2 linked regions of the Cricetulus griseus genome follow. The protein of the gene in region 1 interacts with the protein of each later gene in a pairwise test. Links are inferred from orthologs where the notes say so. Each region holds a gene or a part of one and is shown on either strand. Other genes may lie near its edges. The genes, in order: Aldh16a1 and Dera.

Region 1 (8,728 bases):
TGCCCTATCTCCCCCTCAGGTGTCTCCTGCTCCTCTGACCCAGCTTCCTGTCCCCTCCCTCTGCCCCTGGTGTCTTTACCTGCCTCACAGGCTCAAGATGGGCACCGTATGGATCAATGCCCATGGCCTCCGAGACCCTGCAGTACCCACAGGTGGCTGCAAAGAGAGTGGGTCTTCCTGGCATGGGGGCCCGGATGTGAGTGTCCATCTTACCCTTGTGTCTGCTGACACCCAGCACCCCTGAGTTACTTTGAGTTCATCAGGCCTCCTTGTGACTGTGCATTTCTCACAGGGTCTGTATGAATACCTTTGGCCCTCGGGGACACCTTCCTGGGAGCCTGCCCTTTGCGAGAGTCTCAACTATGACACGTTTGGCCTTGCCGTGCCCTCCAGCCTGGTGTCAGGGCCAGAAACAGGGCTCAGGTGAGCAGTTGTAGGCCTGGTAGTCTAAGGGTGAGGTTGAGGAGTCTGGAGGGGGACACGCCAGAGTGTAGCTTTCGGGTCTTAGGGTCTCGTGGCCCTAACCCCAGGTCTGGAGACTCTCAGTTCTACTTAGCAGTTTGAGTTTTCCCAGAAGCAAGAATCCAGGGGGTATCTAAATATATGCACATGGGAACAAGAATTTGAATGTCCACAGAAGCTCTTGGGATAGGAATTCAGAATCCTGTAGAGGCTCATGGGAGCAGGTGTTTGGATCCTTCAAGAAGCTCATGAGAATAAAAATTTGAGTCCAAAAGGTTCATGGGAACTGAGATGGTCCATGGTACCACCAGTATAGTGGAGCATGGGGCCTGAGTGGGCCCAGTACCTCCTCACACCTCACTCTGTGCAGCCCAGTACCCCCCTATGGGCTGTTTGTTGGGGGCCGTTTCCAGGCTCCTGGGTCCCGAACCTCCAGGCCCATTCAGGATTCTTCAGGCAAACTTCACAGCTATGTTGCTGAGGGTGGAGCCAAGGATATCCGAGGTGCTGTAGAGACTGCTCATCAGGCTGCCCCTGGGTAAGAGGGTCAAATGGAAGGGTGGCTGGGAAGGGAGTAAACTTGGGATTGGAGCCCTAGATTGGGGCTGTGGACAGAGTTGGCTATCTGGGAATAACTAGGGCCAGGCTATACCCCTCCCCTAACTTACATTATTTGCCCACAGCTGGGGGGCCCAGTCTCCAGGGGCCCGAGCACGCCTGCTGTGGGCCCTGGCAGCTGCAGTGGAGCGTAGGAAGCCAGCTCTGGCCTCACAACTAGAGAGCCACGGAATAGCCCCTATGGTTGCCAAGACTGAAGTAGAGCTGAGTGTGAGGCGGCTCCAGATTTGGGGCACCAAGGTTCAAGACCAAGGCCAGACACTGCAGGTGAGACACCTCTAAGCAGGTAGGCAGGGCAGGGCAGGCAGCCAGACAAGAGTTAGAGCCTAGGCTCCAGTGAGCCAGGCATGTGTCTAGGCTCAGCCCCAGGAATTCTAGAAAGTACAACTAACCCTGATGAGAGAAAAGACTGGAGGGCTCAGACCAGTCAGGAGGGAAGGTCACACTTACAGGAAGGATAGCAGGTGTTCATGAGTATACACACATCAGAACCTCCCAGGAGTGCCATTTAAAGTCTATGTTTTGTTGTTATTGTTGTTTTTCCCTTTTTTTTTTTTTTTTTTTTTTTTTTTTTTTTTTTTTTTTGGTTTTTCGAGACAGGGTTTCTCTGTGGCTTTGGAGGCTGTCCTGGAACTAGCTCTTGTAGACCAGGCTGGCCTCAAACTCACAAAGATCCACCTGCCTCTGCCTCCCAAGTGCTGGGATTAAAGGCGTGTGCCACCAATGCCTGGCCTGTTTTTCCTTTTTTTTATTAGAAAATTGTTTTTACATGTCAATCCCAGGTCCCTCTCCCTCCCCTCCTCCCCTGTCTTCCCCCCCCCCCCAAATAACACCCTGCCTATCCCATACCCTTTCTGCTCCCCAGGGAGGGTGAAGCCTTCCATAGGGGGTCTTCAAAGTCTGTCATAAGTCTGTGGTTTTTTGTTTAGTTTGGTTTGGGTTTTTTTTTTTTTTCGAGACAGGGTTTCTCTGTAGCTTTGGAGGCTGTCCTGGAACTCAGTCTGTAGATCAGGCTGTCCTGGAACTCATACAGATCTGCCTGTCTCTGCCTCCCCAAGTGCTGGGATTAAAGGTGTGTGCCATTACCTACTGCCCAGTTCATTTAAAGTCTATGTAATGTAGGCTTGATTATATTCAAGAAGGCTTTTGTAAACACACATGGTAGAGCAGGCCTAAAATCTCAGCATGTGGAAATTGTTGTGATTTTGTAAAAGTTTAAAAATTAGAGATGGGGTAATTGCGATGGAACACGAACTATAGAGAGCACATTAACCAGTTTATTACAGGGTGGGAGAGCGAGAGGGGGAGAAAGAGAAATGGAAGAACAGAGCAGAGCAGAGAGTAAGAGAGAAGAATTAGTGGTTGACCACTGGAAACAGAAGAGAGCAGAGGGATGTGGGCGCAGGCTTAAAAGGGGAGCTCGTGCATGCGCAGAGTCCCTACACAGCCTTGTAACGGGTGAGATGTGGCCACGCAGCACAAGGCCCTTTGAGCTGCCTGGGTATCTGCCTGAACCTTTCAGAAATAGAGGCAGAAAAATCAAAAGTTCAAGTTCAGTGTCAGCCTTGGCTACATAGTGAAATCCTTTTTCAAAACACCAAGGCCGGGGCAGAGGGCACAGTTAAGAGCACTTTCTGTTCTTGCAGAGGATGGGATTGATTTCAGCACCCAAATCAGGGTGCTCACAACTTCTTGTGACTCTACATAACTCCAGGGTAACCTTGTGACCCCTTTTAGCACCCACAAGTGCACATGACCACATACCCCCAACATGCACACATAGACACATAATTAAATAAATCCAGCAGGGTGTGGTAGCACACTCCTTAAGTCCTAGCACTCGGGAGGCAGAGGCAGACAGATGTCTCAGTTCAAGGCCAGCCTGGTCTACAAAGCAAGTTCCAAGACAGCCAGGGCTATTTAGAGAAACCCTGTCTCAAAAAAAAAAAAAAACAAAAATAGGCTGGGCGTTGGTGGTGCACGCCTTTAGTCCCAGCACACAGGAGGCAGAGGCAGACGGATCTCTGTGAGTTCGAGGCCAGCCTGGTCTCCAGAGCGAGTGTCAGGATAGGCTCCAAAGCTGTACAGAGAAACCCTGTCTCGAAAAACCAAAAAAAAAAAGAAAAAAAGAAAAAAGAAAAAGAAAGAAAGAAAGAAAGAAAGAAAGAAAGAAAGAAAGAAAAGAAAAAAACAAAGATAGTTCAATAAATATACAATCTATAAATCAAGCTGGGTGGTGGTGCATGCCTTTAATCCCAGCACGAAGGACACAGAGGCATGCAGATCTCTGAGTCTGCCAGCCTGATCTACATAGGGAGACCCTGTCTCACGACAAAACAGAAAACAAGGGTTGGAGTTCACTTCAGTGGTAGAACACTTGCCTATCTCTAGCATGCTTTGAGCCCTCTACAGTACCACAAAACAGTGATGGCACAGACCCAAAATCCTAGCTACTCCATAGGCTGAGGCAGGGGCATGGCAGATTCAAGGCAATACATACAGGCAGAGGTTTAACTAGTGCAGACCCACATAGCCAATGAGTGGCCATTGGGCTGCAGGCCTTTGTTCCCTGAACCAGTGTCCCCCAGTCCCACTTTATTGGAGTTGTTCTGGAGATATGAACATGTCAGATGGGGAAGATGGGGCAGGCTCTGAGAACTTGCTCTTGATGTGTCATCTGTCCCTGTAGGTAACAGGGTTGAGAGGACCTGTGCTCCGGCTTCGAGAGCCACTTGGAGTGCTGGCTGTGGTGTGCCCGGATGAGTGGCCCCTGCTGGCCTTTGTGTCACTGCTGGCTCCTGCCCTGGCCCATGGCAATGCTGTGGTCTTAGTACCTAGTGGGGCCTGTCCTCTGCCAGCCCTGGAGGTCTGTCAGGTAAAATCCCCTGCCTTCCCTCCTGCCTGCTGCTGCTTCTAGGTCTTCAGGAATTCAGCTGGCCTCTTCCCTCCTAGTAGCCATGGCAACTTGAGTCCCAGCATCCCATCCAAGTCTATCACCCAGGTCCTATTCCTTCTGGGAGCCCCTACAGCCATTCCCAGATGCCCAGTCCTCAGTCCTCACCCTGCCCTCCCTCATTGCTGTTCAACCCTGAGTGTCCTACTCTCTCACGTCCTAGGATATAGCCACCCTGTTCCCTGCTGGTCTGGTGAACGTAGTGACAGGAGATCGGGACCACCTGACCCGCTGCCTGGCCTTACATCAGGACATTCAGGCCCTGTGGTACTTCGGGTCTGCCCAGGTAATTCAGAGTCTTTTTTTTTTTTTTTTTTTTTTTTATGCAGTGTTGACCTTATTTTTTTTATTTTTTTAAGATTTATTTACTATGTATACGGTGTTCTGTCTGCATGTATGCTTGCAGACCAGAAGAGGGCACTGTAGATCTCATTATAGATGGTTATGAGCCACCATGTGGTTGCTGGGAATTGAACTCAGGACCTCTGGAAAAGCAATCAGTGCTCTTAACCTCTGAGCCATCTCTCCAGCCCCGTAATTCAGAGTCTTAACCAACAGTCTTTTGGCTTCATCCCCTGGAGACCCCTGTTGCTAAGAGGAAGAAATTCATTGGCCACAACTTCCGAGATCCTCTCCTGGTAAAAGTCCCGTCACCAGAGGGTCTTTTTTTTTTTTTTTTTTTTTTTTTTTTTTTTTTTCAAGATGGTTTCTCTGTGTAGCCCTGGCTATCCTAGAATTCACTCTGTAGACCAGGCTGGTCTTAAACTCAGATCCACCTGCCTCTGCCTCCCAAGTGCTGGGATTAAAGGTGTGCGCCACCGCTACCTTATGGAAGAGGGTATTCTTCATAATAAGGACCTAAATGCCTCCCCTGCCCAAAGACATCATCTTTTTGGAAGACCTATTGTTAAGGGACTAAACCATAACAACATTCCAAACTCCAGGTCTACCCTCCTAAGCCACCTGTTGGCAGATGGGATGCCCCATTGGCGAGATCCTTGAACATGAGCACTGGGAAAGATGGGGATTCCCTGGGTCTGCTTCCTCTGCATCTGGAAGGAATATTGGCCAGGACCCAAATATCCAGCCTTATCAGGCCTTTAGGTTTCTCCAAGTCCTCATTGCTAAGGAAGCAGCTATTCAGCAACTAAACGCTGGCAGTACTAATCACTTGTCTCCCATCCCAGGGCTCCCAGTTTGTGGAATGGGCCTCTGCAGGAAACCTCAAGTCTGTGTGGGTAAACAGGGGCTTCCCAAGGGCCTGGGATGAAGAGGTCCAGGGGGAAGGACCAGAGCTGAGTCTGCATGCAGCACGAACCAAGGCCCTGTGGCTCCCAATGGGGGACTGATGCCTGAAGCTGTCCACTCCATCTTGGGTGCCCAGAGATACCAGATGTTTGGAATTTTTCTCTCAGATTTCCCATGGTTTCCAATAAACTGAGTGACTTTTACTGCTTTTGAGGATTCCCAAACAGTGGCTTCTTCATGTGTGGCCCAGTAGGCAACTGTGGAACAACACTGTGTTTATGGGATGGTTAAAGGGCACTCACCCCCACCCAGCACTCCGGGGTCATTAGGAGTTAGAGGGAAGTCCCTGGAAGGCTCTGTACCCTTTATGCTTGATTCCAGAGTTGAGTGGGCTGCAGGGCCACCTCCTTCCCATAAGTCCTCTTTCTGAACTGGAAGGTCTGTATCCCAGCACATCCCCAAGAGGAATGAGATGCCAGCCAGAGCCAGGGGCCACCACTATTGGGACAAGTACTGAGGGCACAGCTGCCAGGCAAGATCTGACTTCCTAAGGAGGAGCCCAAACTGTGACCAGGTGTTTGCTTGCACAGCAGATCCCCTCTCAGCAGATTTAGCTTTAATTTGGTTTTTAGGTTTGGGGGGGGTGTTTGTTTGTTTTCCCCCCTTTGATCATTTTCAGCAAAGTATCAAGGAGTAAGGAGTAGCTCAGCTGATCTGTCCATCCAATCCCCCTGCCTCAGCATGAGGTTACAGACAATTGCCTCCAGGCCTGACCTAGAACTCCAAGCACGTGCATGTGTGAATAAGAGAGAGGGTAAACAGTAAACAACTTACGGAGTCGGTTCTCTCCACCACCATGTTGGTCCATGGGATCAAATGCAGGTGTCCTGCTTGGCAGTCGTGACCTGTATTTTATCAGCTGGGCCATTTCAGCAGCCCCTGGTCTGGAATCTTATGATCCTCCTACATTTGCCTTGTGCTGGGATTGTGTATGTGTGGGCATGCCCAACATTAATCTTGTCTACCAAGCCTTTCACCAGGTAAGATCACAAAACAAGACAGTGAACAGCCACACAGACTCAGAGAGGCTAAACACGATGGCTGCCCACAGGGAAGAGAAGTGGGTAGGAGAGCAGTCAGGTGGCCTAGCTTTTTGGTTTGGTTTTTTTGTTTTTTTGAGACAGGGTTTCTCTGTAGCTTTGGAGGCTATCCTAGAATTCACTCTGTAGACCAGGCTGGCCTCAAACTCACAGAGATCCTCCTGCCTCTGCCTCCCAAGTGCTAGGATTAAAGGCATGTGCACCACCAACGCCCAGCAGTGGCCTAGTGTTGTTGCAGTAAACCTATGTCTGGGTGACTCATTGCATGTTCTCTCTCTCTCTCTCTCTCTCTCTCTCTCTCTCTCTCTCTCTCTCTCTCTCTCTCTCTCTCTGTGTGTGTGTGTGTGTGTGTGTGCTCATCAAAGTTGCTGTTGCCTGGGGAATTGGGCTGATGGAGGCTGTCTTAACCTATTTTCTTGTATGTTGCAGTTTGGTGGTGGTGCTCTGTTTGTTGGGGGTTTGTCTGGTTGTTTGATTTTGAGACTATATATATCCCAGGTTGGACTAGAACTTCCTTTGGCACCAAAGATGACCTTGAACTCCTGATCTTCTGCCAATGGGATGACAAGCATGAGCCATTAGGCACAACTTTTTCTTGGTCTATTTTCTGTGGCTGTAACTGATTATCATAGACTGTCACTTGCCAAGAATAAAGGTTTCAGCACAAGGCTGTGGAAGCTAGGAGGGGCCCCATCTGGTTGGCATCTGTAAGGCCTTCCTGGCATAATAATGGGATCGAGGATACCTTGTAGCATGACAGCTTTTTTTTTTCATTTTTGGTTTTTTGAGACAGGGTTTCTCTGTGTAGCTTTGGAGCCTATCCTGGCACTCGCTCTGGAGACCAGGCTGGCCTCGAACTCACAGAGATCCACCTGCCTCTGCCTCCCGAGTGCTGGGATTAAAGGCGTGTGCCACCAACGCCCAGCTGCATGACAGCTTTTTAGAATGCTCTTAACAACAAAGCCTCACCGCCGCCGCCCCCGCCCCGCCCCGCCCGCCCCGCCCCGCCCGCCTTTCGACCCTGTGTCTTAATTAAGGCTACTGTTGCTGTGATGTAACACCATGCCAAAAAGCAGCTTGGGGAGAAAAGAGTTTATTTGCACATTTCAAATCACAGTTCACTGAAGAAAACCAAGGCGGGAACTCAAACCTTGAAGCAGGGCAGGGGTTGGAAGCTGATACAGGGGCCATGGTGGAGTGCTTACTCTCTTGTTCCTCAAGTCTTGCTCAGCCTGCTTTCTTTTTCTTTTTCTTTTCTTTTTTTCTTTTTTTTTTATTTTGGTTTTTCGAGACAGGGTTTTTCTGTTCAGCCTGCTTTCTTATAGCACCCATGGCCACCAGGGTTGGCACCACTCACCATGGACTGTGCGTTCCGGTGTCACTAGTTAAGAAAATACCCTACAGGCTTGCTGCAGCCAGATCTTAATGAAGGCAATTTGACAACTGAGTTTTCCTCCCCTCGGATGGCTATAGCTTGTCAAGTTGACATAAAACTATCCAGCACAAGTCGGGCAGTGGTGGCCCACACCTTTAATCCTAGCACTTGGGAGGCAAAGGCAGAGGCAGGGGAGCTCTGAGTTCGAGGACAGTCTGGTCTGCAGAGTGACCAGGACAGTGAGGGCTACAAAGAGAAACCCTGTCTTAAAACAACAAAAACAAGGCAGCACAGTATGTTCTTTATTTTTATTATGTAAGGGGTATGGGCACATGAGGCCAGAAGGAGGTTATTAGGTACCAGGGAGCTGCACCCACCATGACCCCTGGGAACTGAACTCAGGCCCTGTGTAGTAGTAAGTACTTTTTGTTTTTTGTTTTTTTCTTTTTTCGAGACAGGGTTTCTCTGTGGCTTTGGAGGCTGTCCTGTAACTAGCTCTTGTAGACCAGGCTGGTCTCAAACTCATAGAGATCCACCTGCCTCTGCCTCCTGAGTGCAGGGATTAAAGGTGTGCGCCACCAACACCCAGCAGTAAGTACTTTTTTAAATCAGTCCCATGTTTTAAAAGTTTTTGAGCCGGGCGTTGGTGGTGCACGCCTTTAATTCCAGCACTCGGGAGGCAGAGGCAGGCGAATCTCTGAGTTCGAGGCCAGCCTGGTCTCCAGAGCGAGTTCCAGGATAGGCTCCAAAGCTACACAGAGAAACCCTGTCTTGAAAAACCAAAATAATAATAATAATAATAATAAAAGTTTTTGAGACAGTCTTGCTGGGGGTGGTAGCACACACTAATGCCAGAGGCAGGGTAGGAGGGTCTCCTTGAATTTGAGGGCAGCCTTGTCTATATCTTGTTCCAGGCTAGGGCTACATAGTATACATAATAAGACTCTGAAAAAAGAGTAAGTTTGACTAACC
Region 2 (8,974 bases), on another chromosome or scaffold:
AATAGTCAAATCCCTGTGACTGTGTTTTCAGTCATTTGTCATTACTTCATGGTGAAAGCACTCAAAGCTCACACTCCAGTTTTTAAAACCATGGGGATGTGATGCCACATACAGCATTGTAATGATAACTCTTTCTGCCAGCTGCCTGAGTTCCGCCACCACGATAGGGCCCCAAAATAACACACAGAGTCTTACATTAACTGCAATGCTGCTGGCCAATGACTAGGATTTCTCATTTGCTAGCTCAAGTCTTAATTATCAACCGTAGCCATTAATCTATCTATTTTATAAAGACTCATCGAGGACACCAGCGGAACTCGTCCTCTCTTCACAGGATCACATGGGTGGGGGGACACGGTACCATGCAACTTCAAGAAAGCTACGTAACTTTTCGGTGCCTCAGTGTCCTCTTTGAAGAAAGTGCTCGTGTCAGTACTTGGTAATAGTGGTAGGGACTGACTGTGCCGACGCCCATGAAGCACGAGGTGCTAGTCCCTCCCTGCCATTGTTACCTTTTATCTCCCTGTGTTGCTCTAATAAGTTAAGGAAACAGGCTCAAGATCCAAGAGAAGGAAGAAAACATCTGCAAACTGTCAACAGTACAGCATCTTTCATGAAGTCTCGTCTGTTGGGAGGCCTACTACTTCACTAAATACCAGCCTGTAACAGTTCTGGGGTTGTCACAACTGGGCCATGGGCTTTCTTTCCACTGAGTGTGAGAGAAGGAGGGGAAATGAGTAGGCACTCCACAGTTCTGTGGGAAAGATACATGGTAGTGAGCATAGGGCATAAAATTGTTTTTATTCATCTCAGTTATGCATTAAACAAACCAACTTGATTTTAATTGGCTGTGAAATATGGAGACAAGAATACCAGAGTCTATGAGAATCCATTGACTGTCTAATTTAATTTATCTGATGGTGAAGAAAGATAAAATTCTAAGAGATTATTTTCATTTTCATTTCATACGTGGGTGATGCGTTCTGATTACTCCCCCCTACTCTTCCTTATACCCCACCCTCCCTTCTATTTCCCGCTCCTGACACCCCCCCCCCAACCATCTGCACTTCCTGTCACCCCTTTCCTACATTGTGTCTTTGTGTTTGGTTTTGTGACCCACAGATTTTAAGCAGGGCCAAGCAACTATGGGTTTAGAACTGTCCCTTGGAGCCTGGTAGGCTTAGCCATGGGTAATCAACCCAAAACAATGACTGTCCTTCCCCAGAACCCCCCAGTAGCAAGAAGTTCAACAGGGAGGGGTACATCCCCATCCGTGATTGATGAATGATGGGCTCAGTCTTGTACAGGCCTGGTAGTGACAGCCTCTGCTTCTGTGGGACGTGATTGCAGTGACTGTGTTGTGCCCAGAAGATGGCAATTTTCAGCCCTTCTCCCTTTCTTCTGGCTCTTATATAAACAGAAATATTTTAAAGGTAGATTTTCATTTTAGTTTTTTCACATAATTACCAAAAAGTAAAGTTGTCCTTAGGGAGATGGGGGTTGGGGGAGGTTTGCACATAATTCACTTCTTTCAATGACTTAAGTATAAAAGTAAGTTTTTAATTAACCTGGGAGTTTTTCTTGCTTTTGTTTTAGGATCAGATTTTATTAAGACTTCTACTGGAAAAGAAACGGTAAATGCCACCTTCCCAGTAGCGATCGTAATGCTACGGGCCATTAGAGATTTCTTCTGGAAAACTGGAAACAAGGTACGGTATTGCCAGCAAATCTCCCTTCAAAGTGAAGAGAATGCTATTTATAACCCTCCTCACAGTCCGCAGGATAACGATAACGTCTCCCTGTGCAGAAGGTGTGAATGAGTCGCCTTTATTAAGATAAATGTTTAATTTACCTTTCATTACAAAAGAATACCTCGGTGGGGGAAAGTGTGTGATTAACAGTGAGTGTGAGTGTGTGCCTGTGTGATCAAGATGTAAACTCACTCTGTCCTTTTATTAACCCAAGACAATTTTAGCACTGACAAGAGATTCCTAAATGGGTTCTTTAAGGAACTAATTGTACTGCGACACAGAGCTTCTTCTTGCGAGGCGTTGGCCGGTGAAAACAGGTTAATGTAGAAATTTAACTTCCTCATGGAATGGAAAGAATCTCAGAGTAACATTTATTGAATGATAAGCTGTGGTGGTGATATGAAAAGTAGGCAGTATAATGGGAAGTAATCTTTCCCTGTCATTATTGAAGGACACACATAAATTGGTTTTTCTGTTGGGAAACCCCCGGTCCAGAAAAACTTATTACTTTTAATAATATGAGGTGAAGAGAAAATTCTCGAGGAGATGAACTTATTAAACAGAATAATGAAATACCACGAAACAGCAGGGAAATGGTAGCTCTCCGTCCTATAGCTCTTGAATTAAATATCCATTTTTTTTTAACGTTTTATGGTGGTTGGCCGTGCTGTTTGGGAGAGTGTTGAGCTGAGGAGAGTATATGCTAACTTTTGTCAGCTTTTCGAAGAGCAACACAGAATTTTTTGAAGCATACAAAGTTAAATGGGAAAATGCGTACGAAGTGTTTCTTAAAAACTGGATTTGGATTTTCTATTTCAAGTTGCTTGTCTAGTCACAAATTATCTAAGAAGGACTTTTTTTTTTTTTTTTTTTTGCCTAGCTGGAAAGGTGTGTGTGTGTGTGTGTGTGTGTGTGTGTGTGTGTGTGTGGTGTGTATGTGTGCGCGCACATGTTCGAAGGCGCTGATATAATAAGACTTCCCTCCCTGAGGGGCATCTTTTAAAAACCAGTATCTTACTTTCTGCCATCTCCTCCCTCAAGAAGACCTTTAATGCTTTGTCTACGGGATGGGATGTCTTTATGGCTTCACGAGTGACTATGGCTTAGATTTATTTTGGAATTGGAGACTTACATGGGCTATGCCCCTTGTGAGAGGAAATAACCTCCCGGAGTTTTCTCTGAATGAGCTCACATTGTTAAGCACAGGTAGGGAAAACACATTGTTACCGTTGGTCTCTCTGCACTGATACAAATCCAACAATTTAAGGAACATTGTTTTGTTCTCAAAGAAAAGCTGTGTAAGCAGCAGCTCATCTTCTTTCAGTGTGGCTGTCACCTCCTTTAGGCCCATGCCACTCATCCCTAAAGTCGTTTAGCAAACTGATTCTACTGAGTCACAGGTTTTTGATAAGGGTTAGCCTGAGAACATCAAAATTAGATACTCAGCTGGCCATGCATGTAGAATCCTGGGCTCCCAGGCTTGACAGCCATGGGTCTGGAAGAGTCCCTTGGCATCCATGTTCCATGAACTCCACCTTTAGGGGTAATGCATGCTTTTGGGAACCAAAGAAACAGTTCCCAAGTGGGTGACTGAGGGCCGTGCTAACCTGTGTTAGGGTGTAAACACAAATATGTCCCCTCCTAAGACAGCTCTCAGACAGCAAAAAACAGATCTCAGAGAACACAAGTGCTCAATGGTCCGGGCTGGAGTTTGGAGATGCATTTTGCTTGTCTTTGCATCCTTAATGGTTCTGTTCTTTCCCCACCTAGTAGCCAAATGGCCCACTTATCGTTAAGCAAAGGCCGAGTGCAAGACACATCCTGTTGTGTATGGTTGGGTATGCAACTGCAAGCCGGGCATGGCCTTTAAGTTGGTGATGGCAAGCCCAGGAGGCCATAGACTGTGGTTCCTCCTTCATTGATGTGAGCCATGTTATACGATGCAAAAGCCCACATTCCAGGCCATGCCTGGTGCCACCCCTAGGAAGCTGGGATTTTGTATATTGTAACTGATTTCATTGCAGATTTGTTTTCCATATTCTCTCGCTTGCAATGTATTAACTTGCACAAGCACTTCTTCTTGGGGTGGAGTTGCCGACGCTGACTTCTATGTCTAGGAAATCTTTATGAACACTGCCCACCTGACTTGCAGGAAGACTCCTCCCTCCCATGGCCGTGTGTGCTTCCTGTCGCTCACCTACTGCGTTTGTCTATCTGTTTGCCAGTCTGCAACAGTGGCTACAAGTATGCTCCTGCTGAGCTGGCTATCTCATGTATGATGAAGGCAGGGAACCCACTTAGGAGACCATTCATGACACTCTTCCCTGAAAGGACTGAGGGTAGAGAGAGGTAGGATGTGGATATCCTAGGATGTGAAGGCAGGCTTGGCAGGAACACGCCAGTGTGATGCTGCAATGGCTGGGTGGCTGCGAAGTACCAACACAATGGCAGTGGCTGTGTTCACAGTGGGATTTCCCGCTGACTAATGGGACCTTTCTTTCATTGGCTCCTTCTGCGTCCTGCCAGGGTGATCTATTGAAAGAGCTCTGAGCCCTTGGGCTGCACATAGAGTGGTTGGGCAGCTTGTGTGTATAGACTCATCTACTCTCTGCATAGTTACATTCCTGAGACAAGTGAATCCAGAGGCCATGAGGTTTTCTACACATGCAACCTGGGCTTTTCCTGATGGTATCAGACATCACGTAGAAACAACCAGCATCTATTGGCTGTTTGGACTGTGTCTTTTTTTAAGGATTTATTTGTGAATGCTTGCGTGCATGTGTGCGTGTCTGTGTATTTGTGTGCACCATGTGTGTGTGAGTTCCTGTGGAAGCCAGAAAAAGGCACAGGAACCCCTGGAGTGAGAGTCCCTCAACGTGAGTGCCGAGCAGTGAACTCAAGTCCTCTGGAAAAGCATGGGTCCCAGGTGGCTCTCGGCCTCTCAGCCACCTGGGACTGACTGCTTTATGGCCCTCCCTACAGACTTTCAAAAACAGTATGGCGTTCTTCTACCAAGCTTACATTAACAGTCTGCCTGCTTTGTAGAACCCTGTACCTATGGCCTCTGAAAAGAAGCCTGCAGTTAGGTCGATTAAAGTACCCGTCAGCTCTTGCTTGACAGCTGCCAGTTTGATTAGGTTGATCTTGTGGCCACACTGATCTGGCCTTAAATACAAAGTGACTTGCACCTCAAGATGCAGGCTCATTGGAAGCAGTGTAGACTGGATGAATACCTGTGGTGTATTTTCTTGTTTATTGACACTTTCCTTGGCTTCTCCAGATGTACACATTTAGTCTAGATGGTGGAAGTTTATGAGGTGAGATGTCCCCTCGTTCTTATCCCTTCAGAAGCAGTAACCCAGGCCCCATTGGTCTTGGAATTTTCAGGTAATGCTCTATTGATATAGGTATCTTTGCCGAAGTGAAACAGACTAAGAAGGAAAGTGTGACTCAATCCTGTTTCTTCAGGGTGCCCCTTTTGAAATCAGCCTGCTAATGATGGTTCCTCTTCTCTCCTCCCCCTCAGGTAGGCTTTAAACCTGCAGGAGGCATCCGCACCGCAAAGGAGTCCCTTGCATGGCTCTCTCTTATAAAGGAGGAGCTGGGGGATGAGTGGCTGACACCTGACCTCTTCCGGATAGGGGCCAGTTCTCTGCTCTCAGACATCGAGAGGCAGGTGAGTGGAGAGACCTTGTCCTTGGAAGGAGGGGAGGTTGACCCCGCAGAACCAGGGCTCCACCTCCTTCAAGCAGACCCGCACCTGCTAGAGGTCAGGTGCCAGTTGTGCTGAAGAGGTTGCGAACGCAGCGCCAAGTGGAATTACTATGGGCAGCAGGATGGCTACTATCTTATGTGTACGCCTGCGTAATTACTAACGGATGAAACTGGGCTTCCTCCTAGATATACCACCACGTGACTGGACGGTACGCAGCTTATCATGATCTTCCGATGTCTTAGGTCAGCAGCCAGCCCAGAAAAGCATCTTGCAACAAGTAAAAAAATATCTTTTGCATAATTGCCAAGGTTATGTAATTTAAGAATAGGTAACTGACTTTTCCCCCAATAAAATCTCCCCTGAAACTAACTCAAAAAAACCAAAAGAAACAAATCAATTTGAATCTGTATGTGGAACTCTGATCAAGTGAGGCTGAAATGCTCTTAATTATTAGGAGGTCTACAATTATTAATTTTATGAAGGTCTTCTCTAAACAACTCCAAATAAAGTGTTCCTAATAGCCCATACTGCAGCAAATTCTGAGGGGGAAATGAAGTTAAATGGCCCAAGACATGAGATTCTAGGGCAGGCAAGAGGACTTGGCCCAGGATGGTGCTTGCTACCAATCCTGACCACAAGTTCAGTTCTCAATAACTGCATTGTGGGAGGGGAAAGCCGGCTCCTGGAAAGCCCAAGAACGTGGAGCTCCTCCCTGGCTCTCACCTGAATTTCTGTGGTGGACCAAGGACTCTTTCAGTAATTGTTTTGCTAATGAGATTCTGATGTTGTTATGAGAAAATGTGAATACCACTGACTTTTTAAATTCAAAAGTCTCTGCTTATTTATTTTGTCTACTTTGGGCGGGGGCTTCTGGGCTGGAGCTTTGAAAATGCTGGGGCTACCACCTGCCTGACTTGGTGACGGTTGTTGTTTTAGTCTCTTTAAATTATTAAAAGAAAGGAAAAGCTGGGTGTGTGGTGGCATCTGTTTGTAACTCCACCACTGGCCGTGCAACTCACTGTGCAGTTACAGGCTTCTGCCCAAAATCCAGGCAGACAAAGGCTGGTCTCTGCTTCCCACACGTTTACGAATTGACCTGCACGTGTGTGTGTGTGTGTGTGTGTGTGTGTGTGTGTGTGTGTGTGTGTGTGTGTGTGTGTGTATGTGTGTGTGTGTGCAATGCACAGATGAATCCAAGATGGAGAAAGTAGCCCTGGCATAGGGATGGCGTGCTTGTGTGGCCTGTGAGAGAGGCCTTGGACCTGATACCTGGGACTACAAAAACAAGTAAATAATCAGCAAACCAGGTGAGGCTTGCTGCTCAGTCTGTGGTCCCTTTTGTGAGTCACCTTTAAGCAGCTAGGGACACAGGAGCAGAGCTGTGACATGTGACCGGCTTCATGCTTTGTGTTCTCCTTTGCTCTGTGGCTCCTCCCCCTTCCAGTGTCCTTGCTTGCTGACACCTCTGCCATGTTGTAGAACCTGAGCTTTTTAAAATGGCCTTTTCATCAAGAATCAATCAGTCCTCCCTCCTTCCCTCCCTCTCTCCCTCCCTCCCTCCCTCCCTCCCTCCCCTCCCTCCCTCCCCTCCCTCCCTCCCTCTCCTCCCTCCCTCCCTCCCTCCCTCCCTCCCTCCCTCCTTCCTCCCTCCCTCTCTCCCTCCTTCCACTCTTTCCCTCCCATGAATACCTTTCCTGTTAATCATGAGCAAAAGCACCAGCCTGAGTCAGTCTCCTGCATCATCTCCTGCAGATGTCTTAGCCCAGCCTCTGCCTCTGTCTCACCTTGGGACTTTGGTCCAGTCTGTGTGCATCCTTCGACCTCTGTCTGCCTCTATGAAGGGAAGGGGTGAGGGCAGGTGACTTAATCGTGCTTTCAGACCCAAGATCACATCACCCCAAGGATAATTAGAACAAATCCAAGAAAATGTTTTATGGCTAGAAAGAGAAAACACTTTGTACCGATCTAAATTAGAATTTGCCTCTCGGGAGTCAATTAAGCAATTCCCTCAAAGCACTTCACTAACTGTAAAGGAAACAACTAAAATAAGAACAGAAAAAGAAACCCTGCTTTCCCCAGCACTGTAGCAAAATGCTGACTCCTGGCTTGTGCTTAGCTCTGAGTGCCTTATCCAACTTCATAATGTGCTGGCCCTGGCGCTCGCCAGCACAGTGGCCAGTCACCTTTGGAGAAGAAACATTACGGAAAAATAATTGCATCCTATCACCTTCGGAGCTATTCTAATTTCAGTGGGGTTTCTCTTTTCCTCCCATTAAACCCAGCCGGTCATTTGGGGTTGACCAAGTGAACAGGCATCATTATCTTCAATTTTAATTTATATGAGGCATCCATAGAAACCGACCTCTGTGGACAGTTACAGATGCCTGCAGGAGATTAAGGCTGGAGAATCTCTCGAATCCATACGAAGCTGTTGAGAGTGGTAGATCCAAAGGTAATGTCACATTTGAGGGACAGTTTGTTCCAAGGACTTTGGGGTTCTTCTTGAGGCACTCCTGGGCCTTCTTATCCAATTCTTTATCTACATATTACACGGATGACTTTATTAGGGACATCCTAGCTGATGGAGATTGCTATTAAACACAAAGAAGAAGTCATTTCTGGGGTGACCATGTTTTGCTGCTGGGAGATCTGTGTACTTCAGAGCATTAGGGACAGATGTTTGCACAACCAGGAAATGAATGGCCAGGTTCTGTGTGAAAAGATTCAGTGAATAGGGACAACCTTCTTCTTCCCCTAAAATGGATACAGTGTTGCCATAAAGCATGGTAGGCCTAAACTGACTGTTCAAACTGTCCTATGGAATGGGGACTTGAAGGGACTTCAGGGAGTGGTGGAGTTCAACCCTGTCGTTCTGTACACGGGAGGAGACTGGAGTAGAAAAATCACACCATCAAGGTTACATTCAAGATTCAAGCCAGAGGTGAAGCTCTCTCTCTCTCTCTCTCTCTCTCTCTCTCTCTCTCTCTCTCTCTCTCTCTCTCTCTCTCTCTCACACACACACACACACACACACACACACACATTTGTGCACTCAGGATGCATGCCTTTATGCCTTTAAGGAGGGTCTCAGTGACTTCGACACCAGCCTGGTCTATGTGGAGACCACATGGAGAGTTCCAGGCCAGTCTGGGCTACATAGTGAGACCCTCTTTCAAAAACAATGTCAGCACTGAAGCCAGGGGGCCACATTACCACATCTTGAATATTTGATGGGATAGGGTCAGGCTTTTGAAATTGAATTGTTCTTGCTTGTTGATTCATCCTACCATTCAAAACCATAAGCTAAATTAAGTTTAGTCAGAGATTTGGTGTTTTAGAGGCCACCTCCACCTAGCCATTTGATTATGTGCTAGTGTGGTTGAGTTTTTCTGCTGATCATAAAGCCATAATTTTGGATGACCTGTAGATGTACATTTTTTTTAAGAGATTGTGTTTTGTTTAGGGAAAATTATTTGGATTCTAATTTGTGTGTGCATGGGGAGAAAAT

What was found.
Region 2: the proteins of Aldh16a1 (region 1) and Dera interact in binary tests that used the Homo sapiens proteins (3 or more experiments, as listed by UniProt). The link is inferred for Cricetulus griseus from reciprocal best matches to the Homo sapiens genes ALDH16A1 and DERA.

The regions. Positions count from the first base shown.
Region 1 is NC_048599.1:154,028,097-154,036,824, reverse strand, and holds the end of Aldh16a1 (aldehyde dehydrogenase family 16 member A1), read left to right. Parts: intron 1-90; coding exon 91-196; intron 197-292; coding exon 293-423; intron 424-832; coding exon 833-1,000; intron 1,001-1,145; coding exon 1,146-1,347; intron 1,348-3,769; coding exon 3,770-3,955; intron 3,956-4,196; coding exon 4,197-4,319; intron 4,320-5,220; coding exon 5,221-5,382; 3' UTR 5,383-5,505; downstream 5,506-8,728.
Region 2 is NC_048601.1:11,195,466-11,204,439, reverse strand, and holds part of Dera (deoxyribose-phosphate aldolase), read left to right. Parts: intron 1-1,596; coding exon 1,597-1,709; intron 1,710-5,277; coding exon 5,278-5,427; intron 5,428-5,651; coding exon 5,652-5,708; exon of another isoform or gene 5,709-5,743; intron 5,744-8,974. UniProt on the Homo sapiens protein: Catalyzes a reversible aldol reaction between acetaldehyde and D-glyceraldehyde 3-phosphate to generate 2-deoxy-D-ribose 5-phosphate. Participates in stress granule (SG) assembly.